Linked DNA regions of Saccharomyces cerevisiae S288C. Changing the gene in region 1 together with any one later gene gives a genetic interaction. Each region holds a gene or a part of one and is shown in the gene's direction. Other genes may lie near its edges.

What was found.
Region 2: mutations in ECM4 (region 1) and FBP26 together harm fitness more than expected from each alone (negative genetic interaction), as found in Saccharomyces cerevisiae (one large-scale study listed by BioGRID).
Region 3: mutations in ECM4 (region 1) and YIR042C together harm fitness more than expected from each alone (negative genetic interaction), as found in Saccharomyces cerevisiae (one large-scale study listed by BioGRID).

Annotation. Positions count from the first base shown.
Region 1 is NC_001143.9:580,040-583,882, forward strand, and holds ECM4 (S-glutathionyl-(chloro)hydroquinone reductase), read left to right. Parts: upstream 1-2,243; coding exon 2,244-3,356; downstream 3,357-3,843. Other genes in the region: YKR075C (uncharacterized protein), read right to left, coding at 1-711; MSA2 (Msa2p), read left to right, coding at 3,614-3,843. UniProt on the Saccharomyces cerevisiae protein: Active as '1-Cys' thiol transferase against beta-hydroxyethyl disulfide (HED), as dehydroascorbate reductase and as dimethylarsinic acid reductase, while not active against the standard GST substrate 1-chloro-2,4-dinitrobenzene (CDNB).
Region 2 is NC_001142.9:128,785-132,211, reverse strand, and holds FBP26 (fructose-2,6-bisphosphatase), read left to right. Parts: upstream 1-1,568; coding exon 1,569-2,927; downstream 2,928-3,427. Other genes in the region: retromer subunit VPS35, read left to right, coding at 1-1,111; SSY5 (Ssy5p), read left to right, coding at 3,260-3,427. UniProt on the Saccharomyces cerevisiae protein: Monofunctional, high-specificity fructose-2,6-bisphosphatase, which releases phosphate from the 2-position of fructose 2,6-bisphosphate. Has no detectable 6-phosphofructo-2-kinase activity.
Region 3 is NC_001141.2:434,692-437,677, reverse strand, and holds YIR042C (uncharacterized protein), read left to right. Parts: upstream 1-1,694; coding exon 1,695-2,405; downstream 2,406-2,986.

The DNA of each region.
Region 1 (3,843 bases):
GTCGATCTCCCTCTTCATCACGGCTTGGTTAAACTTCAACTTCCTGGGGAATTGTTCCTTCTTTTCGTTCATAAGGTCTTCAGAATCTTCATCTATGGAGGAAATTTTAGTGCATGTAGAATGCTGGTCGAAAATGGAAGACGTGTGAGAATCAACAGACGATGGGCATGAAATGTCTTCTAATTTCACCAAAGCGTTGTCATTGCTCTCTATAGAAGCGTTAATCTCATCCACCTCCTCGGTTACCCAGCATTCCGTATTTTTCTTTAAAGCAGATTTTAGATTTTTTGTTTGTTTCTGGTCAATTTGGTTCTGGACCGGCGATATTTCGTTTTCATTACTATCTATGTTAGTCAAATCTGGACCGTACAACACCGTTACATCGGTTTCTTTGTTCCAGTTGATGGACAGTGGATTGGATTTGGAGTTCTGTAAACCATAGTGATTTATGGACCAACGCCTCCAGAGGCAATGATGTAGCCTAACGAGGTACATGTTGTAATCTAGCACGTCCTCTGAAGAGCAACTTGGTAATCGAAGTAGTTTATGTTTGCGCATCTTCAATAGTAGTGTCCATGAAGCCGATATTTCCAAGCTTGCATCATTAAATTCATGATGGAAATAGTCAATCGCAGGCTTGTTGTAGTTGGTCATGTTATCCAGTAACATTATATTCTGGTACGAAATTATTGTATCGTCCAAACTAGTCATTTTCTGTATATGTATCTATTTGTGTGTGTATGAACACTTGTGTGTAGTATCTGAATGCGATAAGAGAAAGGGCCAAAGTTGAACTGAATGCAAAAAGTAAAACCTATAAAACCGTGTTGACCATACGCTTTCATATATATATATATATATGTTTGTTTTTGCTAAGACCCGGTAACTGTACTTTTTCTGCAGTCATCCAAGGGAAGACAAAAGAAGAAAGAAAAAACAAGATTAATGTCCCCAGGTTTTTTCTTTTCCTGGCGGAAAAAGCTCAAATCTAACATTTCCCCGCGGGGGTTTCTTTGTAAAGAGTATCGAGTCGGAAACGAAAAAAAAAAAAAGATGAGAAAATGAATTTTTCCGGTCGCCTAAAGATAGAGGTACCAGCGGAAAAAATGCAGCAAAAGCAAAATACCCCATTCAAGTTCCCCCTGTCTCGCCCCTCTCACGCTTCACTGTCCCCCGCTTTCGGTTTTTCCGGCTACGGCATTTCTGTTGAAAGTTGCCGGAAAAACCCCAAAAAGCATAAAAAAAAAGAGCGGGGGGAAGAAAAAAAGATTCCTTTCTATCTTTTCCTTCCCCGGCCTATTCGGGTACTCGCTTCCGGGTCCGCTGTCGTTTATAATGATTAGTGCAGAGAGCTTTCTTCTCTTAGTTTTTCATGTGGTAAAGGCAATGCCATTTAGAAGGATACTACGTGGGGTTCAAAACCGTGAATACGTTGTCTATCGTGTTATGTATGTTCTGAGTTTCTTTTTGTCATTCTACTAGTTTATGGACTGGGACTATGTATCTTGCAGTATGATTTCGTCAGGAAGCTTGTCATAGCAAGGCCTGAACAAATCGTACGTTAAAATAAAAATGAGCACCAATTCGAGTCACTGATGCCTACTGCTCAATCCAACCATCTAGTTCTGCAAAGATACTTACTCCGCATAATTAAAAAAATAAGGTATTTTAAAGTTGTGTAGTGACGAATGTAGTGACGCGGAAACGTTTTACTCGTCAATGGACATTTGCGAATGTGTCCGATAAATAGTTGAGGCTTTTCCTGCATTCTGTCAAGAAGGGTATGTGTATGAACATGCAAATGACACTGTAAAATGATTCATTACCCTGATTATGGAGTGATTTTCTTTCCTTTTTTTTTTTACATTTAGTTTCATTATTATGCAAATTAGAGGGTATACAGTTGAGATTTTAACACTTTGAATTAAAAAGTGTTACAGAGGAAACCGACGCAAAAGGCTTGGTGACGCAAACTTTTCCATCTTTATTTCACCTCTTCAGACGGTCCTAAGACCTTTTGAACGTATCAATATAGTTTTATCATCTGTTCTCTGTTGTTCTCCGTTACTAAGATATTAGTCAGCTCTTGAAATTTCACACCCCTATTTATTTGTCTTAGCGTCCAACCCCTCTCAACCCTTTTCCATTTCTTGTATAAAGGTAGTTAATTAGGTAACGCTGCTCTTACCATCACTACAGTGCTTACGAGAATTTACCCAAACCCTGCGCAAGATAAATAAGAAATGTCGAAACAGTGGGCGAGTGGTACAAACGGAGCTTTCAAAAGACAGGTTTCGTCCTTCAGAGAAACAATCTCTAAGCAACACCCAATTTATAAGCCAGCAAAGGGAAGATATTGGTTGTATGTTTCACTTGCATGCCCATGGGCCCATAGAACACTAATTACGAGGGCTTTGAAGGGATTAACCTCTGTTATAGGATGTAGCGTAGTCCATTGGCACCTTGACGAGAAAGGATGGAGATTTTTGGACATGGAAAAGCAATTGGAGGACAGTGAAGATTTTTTGGAACATTGGCACGATGTTGCAGGTGGTATTAGAACTGCTAAAGAGGATTCCAGCAAGAGCTTCGCCGAGATCAAGAATGACAGTCAAAGATTCATGGTTGATGCTACCAATGAGCCTCACTATGGATACAAGAGAATCAGTGACTTATATTACAAGAGCGATCCTCAATACTCGGCAAGGTTCACCGTCCCAGTCCTGTGGGACTTAGAAACCCAAACAATTGTTAACAACGAAAGTAGCGAAATTATAAGGATTTTGAACTCTAGTGCGTTCGATGAATTTGTCGACGACGATCACAAGAAAACGGACCTTGTTCCTGCTCAGTTGAAAACACAGATCGATGACTTCAATTCTTGGGTTTACGACAGCATCAACAATGGTGTATACAAGACCGGATTCGCAGAGAAAGCAGAAGTTTACGAAAGTGAAGTCAACAACGTATTTGAACATTTGGACAAAGTGGAGAAAATCCTGAGTGACAAATATTCCAAATTGAAGGCCAAATACGGTGAAGAAGATAGACAAAAAATCTTGGGTGAGTTCTTCACTGTGGGTGATCAATTAACAGAAGCTGACATTAGATTGTATACTACCGTCATAAGATTCGATCCTGTGTACGTCCAACATTTCAAATGCAATTTTACCTCTATTAGAGCCGGATATCCATTTATTCATTTGTGGGTAAGAAATTTATACTGGAATTATGATGCCTTCAGGTACACAACAGATTTTGACCATATCAAGTTACACTACACGCGTTCCCACACAAGGATCAACCCCTTGGGAATTACGCCCCTGGGACCCAAGCCAGATATTCGTCCTTTATAACAAGCTGTAATTAAATAATCAAATGTCTATAATCTCCCTGAGTTGCCTCTTTTTCTATACTCAATTGGGTAATTGACGCGAAACGCGTTAAAGTGCAAAAAAAGGCCTGGAAATTATATTTAACGCAATGAAATATTTTCATAATATGACATTCATGCACAGCTGTATTCATTCTTCTACTTTGTAGTTTGTTATTCTTCTTTATCGGTTTCGTTTTACAAAAGATTTTAGCAAGGAAGCAGTTTTTAAACCAATCAATGGTATACACAACACCGCAACAACAGCAGAGATTCAGCTCCACACCGCAATCTAGCCACACTCTTATCTTCTCGCCAATCAGAGCCCCTTCAATGCAAACGCCCTCCTCATTGGATTACCAATCACCTTCAATTGTTGTGTCATCGTCTTCAATGAAGGTTCACGGCCGGTCTTCCAGTTTCGGTAAATTTTCACTGTCTATTGGGCAAAATGGTAAGGCTACAATACT
Region 2 (3,427 bases), on another chromosome or scaffold:
AGGTGGCATCAATGTTAAATACACTTTTCCAGCAATAATCACAAATTTTTGGAAACTGATGAGGAAATGCCGTATGATACAAGAGTACCTTTTGAAAAAAAGACCCGATAACAAGACGTTACTTTCCCATTATTCCAATCTTTTAAAGCAAATGTTTAAATTTGTTTCTCGTTGTATCAATGATATCTTTAATTCTTGCAACAACTCATGCACAGATCTGATTCTGAAACTGAATTTACAATGTGCCATTCTAGCTGATCAATTGCAATTAAACGAAATTTCATATGATTTTTTCTCACAGGCCTTCACAATATTTGAAGAGTCTCTAAGTGATTCAAAGACTCAGTTACAGGCTTTAATATATATTGCTCAGTCTTTACAAAAGACAAGATCACTCTACAAAGAAGCTTATTATGATTCTTTGATTGTCAGATGCACACTCCATGGATCCAAATTATTAAAGAAACAAGACCAATGTCGTGCTGTTTATTTATGCTCCCACCTCTGGTGGGCAACGGAAATTTCAAATATTGGTGAGGAAGAAGGTATCACAGACAACTTCTACAGAGATGGTAAACGGGTGTTAGAATGTCTACAAAGGTCTCTCCGTGTGGCGGATTCTATAATGGATAACGAACAGAGTTGTGAGCTAATGGTCGAAATATTAAATAGATGCCTCTACTATTTTATTCACGGGGATGAGTCCGAAACTCATATATCGATAAAATACATCAATGGTCTGATCGAACTAATCAAAACAAACTTAAAATCGCTAAAACTAGAAGATAACAGTGCCTCTATGATTACCAACTCAATCAGTGATTTGCACATCACCGGAGAAAATAATGTGAAGGCAAGCAGTAATGCTGACGATGGCTCTGTAATCACAGATAAGGAATCAAATGTTGCCATAGGATCGGATGGTACGTATATTCAATTAAATACTCTGAACGGATCTTCCACGCTAATACGCGGAGTCGTAGCAACTGCTTCAGGTAGTAAATTACTGCACCAACTGAAGTATATCCCAATCCACCATTTTCGACGCACTTGTGAGTACATTGAAAGTCAAAGAGAAGTTGACGATCGTTTCAAAGTCATATATGTATAGTTAAATAACGTACTTGCTCTTCGTACATGCCCAAGATAAAAAAAAACTACACAAATAAAGCTAATAAAAATTTACCTAAAGAAGGATCATAGATTAAGTGGAAGGAAACTTGTACATAATTCGAGTTTATTTTCAACTAAGATATCAAGGATTGTTTACTATAAAAACACTTAATTGGGTAATTTCTATTTTTTACTTTTTTTCTGTGTTAAAAAAATGGGTCGCGCCAATGCGCTCACAAATCTATTCTTATCCCTAACTTACATCTACATGTAAAGCGCCACTAAGAGAGCTATAGCTTATCATACATTTACATCAGGTAAAGTATCATTTTGGCCAGTGGATACGAATTTAATATATAATCTTTGCTTTCCCTTCGCTCTTAAATTCACCAAGCAAGTTTGTTAAGAAATAAAGGAAAGGGGGCTCAAAAACCGAATCAAGTAAGACAAGAAACATGGGGTACAGTACTATTTCCAACGATAATGATATCAAAGTATGTGTGATAATGGTTGGCCTACCAGCTAGAGGAAAGTCTTTTATTTCCCAAAAAATTATCAGGTACTTATCGTGGTTATCCATAAAAGCCAAGTGTTTTAATGTGGGAAATTACAGAAGAGACGTGAGTGGAAATGTCCCAATGGATGCTGAGTTTTTTAACTTCGAAAATACAGATAATTTTAAACTCAGAGAATTGGCTGCCCAAAATGCCATAAAAGATATTGTTAATTTTTTTACTAAAGAAGACGGATCTGTGGCAGTTTTCGATGCTACTAATAGTACACGTAAAAGAAGGAAATGGCTTAAAGATATATGTGAAAAGAATAATATTCAACCGATGTTTTTAGAGAGCTGGAGTAACGATCATGAACTGATTATAAATAACGCTAAGGATATCGGTAGCACATCTCCTGATTATGAAAACTCTGAACCTCATGTGGCGGAAGCTGATTTTTTGGAAAGAATTAGACAATATGAAAGATTTTATGAACCTTTGGACCCCCAAAAAGATAAGGATATGACGTTCATTAAGTTGGTCAATATTATTGAAGAAGTAGTAATTAATAAGATCAGAACATATTTGGAAAGTAGGATTGTATTTTATGTTATGAATATTCGTCCTAAACCAAAATATATCTGGCTCTCCCGTCACGGCGAATCGATCTATAACGTAGAGAAAAAAATTGGCGGGGATTCATCACTGTCTGAAAGAGGCTTTCAGTACGCTAAAAAATTGGAGCAGTTAGTGAAAGAGAGCGCAGGAGAAATAAATTTGACCGTGTGGACTTCCACCTTAAAAAGAACACAACAAACGGCAAATTATCTTCCCTATAAGAAACTGCAATGGAAAGCACTTGATGAATTAGACGCTGGCGTTTGTGACGGAATGACGTATGAGGAAATTGAAAAAGAATATCCTGAAGATTTTAAAGCACGTGATAATGACAAATACGAGTACAGATATCGTGGTGGAGAATCATACAGAGATGTAGTGATTCGTTTAGAGCCCGTCATTATGGAATTGGAGCGCCAAGAAAATGTTCTCATTATAACTCATCAAGCCGTACTTCGGTGTATATATGCATATTTTATGAACGTTCCACAGGAGGAATCCCCTTGGATGTCAATCCCACTACACACATTGATCAAGCTGGAGCCTAGGGCCTATGGCACAAAGGTCACCAAAATTAAAGCAAACATCCCTGCAGTGAGTACATATAAAGAGAAGGGTACAAGCCAAGTAGGTGAGCTTTCTCAAAGCTCAACTAAACTTCATCAACTGCTCAATGACTCTCCTTTGGAAGACAAATTTTAAATTTTACTTTTTATTTTTGTGTATCTTAAGTCCAAGCTTACTTGTGGCTGATACGCACAATCTTTTATGTACGAAAAGATCAGGAAACGTAGCATTGATGGTTTTTTATGTACGTCTGCAGCATTGTATGTAATTATTACCCAAACTAATTTTAAGTGAAATTGTAGAACGCCGCGGCGGAAGTATTTTTGAGTAAAAAAAAAAAAGTAAGATTCGAAAATGAAATTATACAGTACAGAAAACGTAAATATACAATAAAGGTTGAATAAACATACTAGATATCCTCCTTTCTTTTTGCATGTACATAGTACTGGTGTAAACTCGATATACCGATGGTCAGATTTTTTGGTTTAAACAAGAAAAAGAACGAAGAAAAGGAAAATACAGACTTGCCTGCAGACAATGAACAAAACGCAGCAGAAACGTCGTCTAGCAACGTATCTGGAAATGAAGAAAGAATAGACCCAAACAGTCATGATACGAACCCTGAAAATGCAAAC
Region 3 (2,986 bases), on another chromosome or scaffold:
ACGAAGCTGCCAAGGTTAAGTCATTTAAGGATTCCGTCTCTTACATTGAAGAAGCATTGGGAGTTTATTTTACAGAAGTTGAAAAACAATGGAAGTTGTTTAATACTGAAAAATCATGGAGCCCTGTTGGCCTAGAAGATGCTAAACTTCCCAAAGAAGCTTACCGATTTAAGCTTACCTGGATTCTTAAAAGGATTTTCAAGCTGCGGTGTTTACAAGTCTTCCTTTATTATTTTTTAATTGTCTACACGTCTGGAAATGTTGACCTTATATCACGTTTCTTGTTTCCGGTAGTAATGTTTTTTATCATGACGAGAGATTTCCAAAATATGGGAATGATTGTTTTATCCGTTAAAATGGAACACAAGATGCAGTTCTTGTCAACTATTATAAATGAGCAAGAAAGCGGTGCGAATGGATGGGACGAAATTGCAAAGAAAATGAATAGGTATTTGTTTGAGAAAAAAGTCTGGAATAATGAAGAGTTTTTCTACGATGGACTTGACTGTGAATGGTTTTTTAGCTGCTTTTTCTATCGCCTTTTATCTTTAAAAAAAACTATGTGGTTTGCTTCGTTGAACGTTGAGCTATGGCCATACGTTAAAGAAGCACAATCCGTGGTAACAAGTCTTTAGTGAAAAAGTGAACATGTTTTTTTCAACCTAAAAGGTGGGTTAAGATTTTCATCGAGCAATTTTATGCACACAGCACGACATGGTTCAGAGTATAATATATTGGAAGAAAATGCACACGAGCATAATTCTCAAATTATATATAATTACTGAGTATTAATTACAACCGGACACGCTCCATAATTATTCTTTTAAGATTATTGTTTATTAAGGAGCACTTCTAGAAAATAAATGTTTGGAGCCATTAAAATGTAAACTAGCAGATAATTATAATTTATATTCCTTAAAGGCACAAATCTCCGTAATATGTGTATGTATTTATTACTTTTGAGTTTGCCTATTTAGCACAGAGCGGATCGAAAGTATTGGAATAGTAACACCGATATTATTTCTTGGAGGCTTCTCATGAGCCAGCATCATTTTAAAGTCAAGCAGTTGAAATGGAGTACATTTCCTCATATTTTCTATATATACACGAGTTCTTATTTAACTTGAATTGAGTGATTTGTTTTCATCATCTCTTGGCAATTTGTTTTTGAAATATTTTTTGAAAAGAAAGATGCAAATTTCGCGAATCACATTTTCTGTTGCATCGATAAGGTTATTGCTGATCATAAACACATTTATGTGAGATTTGTTTCAATAGCGCACGCACTTATACGCCACTCGCTGAATTTGTCTCCTTCTCAAAATTGGGATTATCATAAGGCATAAGTGTATATTAGAAAATTATGCAAACTCTGTACCTATATTTGCAGAGTCTATAAGAAGCTGTTTACTGGGCTTACAATAAAGCAGATCTCTTGTACTGTAATACGTCTTGGATCATCGCCAGTGTGAAAGTCAAAAAGTTCGTAGTTCTTTGTGCACGTGATATTTGCTCTGTTTATTGGTTCATAATGGAAGGTTGTTTTTTTTTTGAGCCATTCTTCAAAGGTTGATAGGAGGTTGATAAGAGGTTGATAAACAATCAACAATGATATAAAAATAGCATGGGAGGACGCCTTGCAAGAATTTTCCCGCCTCTGAACCTGGAAATAATGCCCTTCAGTAGAAACAATTATGGCGAATTTAAATATATTTGGGCAAGAAGTTGGTGCTGACGTCGAAGGTTGGACAACAAGGGCCTTCCCAGAGAAAGTTGTATTGAAAGGTAACACTTGCAGACTAGAACCTCTAGATAGAGAAAGACATGGTTCGGAACTTTTTAGTGCCTATAGTGAGGCAGGCCAAAAATTATGGACGTATTTACCTGCGGGACCATTCACTAACTTGGAGGAATATCTAGAATTCATTAAGGAACTCAATGAAACTAAAGATACTGTGCCTTTCGCAATTATTAATAAAGAGACTGAACGTGCCGTTGGTACATTGTGCTTAATAAGAATCGATGAAGCCAACGGTTCACTAGAAGTTGGATATGTTGTTTTTTCACCAGAATTACAGAAGACGATTATTGCAACTGAAGCTCAATTTCTGTTAATGAAGTATGTATTTGATGATCTTCAATACAGGAGATATGAGTGGAAGTGTGATAGTTTAAATGGGCCGTCAAGGAGGGCAGCGATGCGCTTAGGCTTTAAGTATGAAGGCACGTTTCGACAAGTGGTGGTATATAAGGGTCGCACTCGCGACACTCAATGGTTTTCAATAATCGATAAAGAATGGTTACGCATTCGTAAAACCTTTGAAGAATGGTTAGACAAAACAAATTTTGAAAATGGCAAACAAAAGAGAGGAATAGCAGCAATAAGAGAAAGCTTGTCAAACTGAAAACTCGCCCTCTCTTTCATGCAGGACATATGTATATATAGCATTTTTTGGTTACCATACTGTAGACTAGGATTTTTTTGCAGTCATGTGAATTTTCCGACTTCACCTTCAACAAAGAAAAATCGCATTTACAATGACTAAGACTTCACGCATTTGCGCTGATCTCCTTTAAGCTTGAATGACATTGAAATGTTACGTCGATACCGATAATATTTTGGGCTCTCGGTTTTGATTTAAACCAGGAAGCGTAGCTCTCACCTTACTAAGGCTCACATCATGTCATTTATAGTGTCATTTTGGCCCTAACTATATTCCACCTTTCTTCCATATAATAGTTTCAACCTTAACCTCAAAATGTATCATTTAATTTTTCTCATACTCTATCATATTTGTTATATAAACGTACAAAGATTGTAATGTTAACTATGCTAAAGTACAATTATTCACAGCATACTACACCGCGCTACGGTTCGTTACCAACCCTCACTAAACCCATAACGAAAGTGGGTTATCTTTACTATTTTAAACTATATTTTCCTTTTCTTTTCAGTATCCTCCTTACCGTACTAGCACATTTTTCT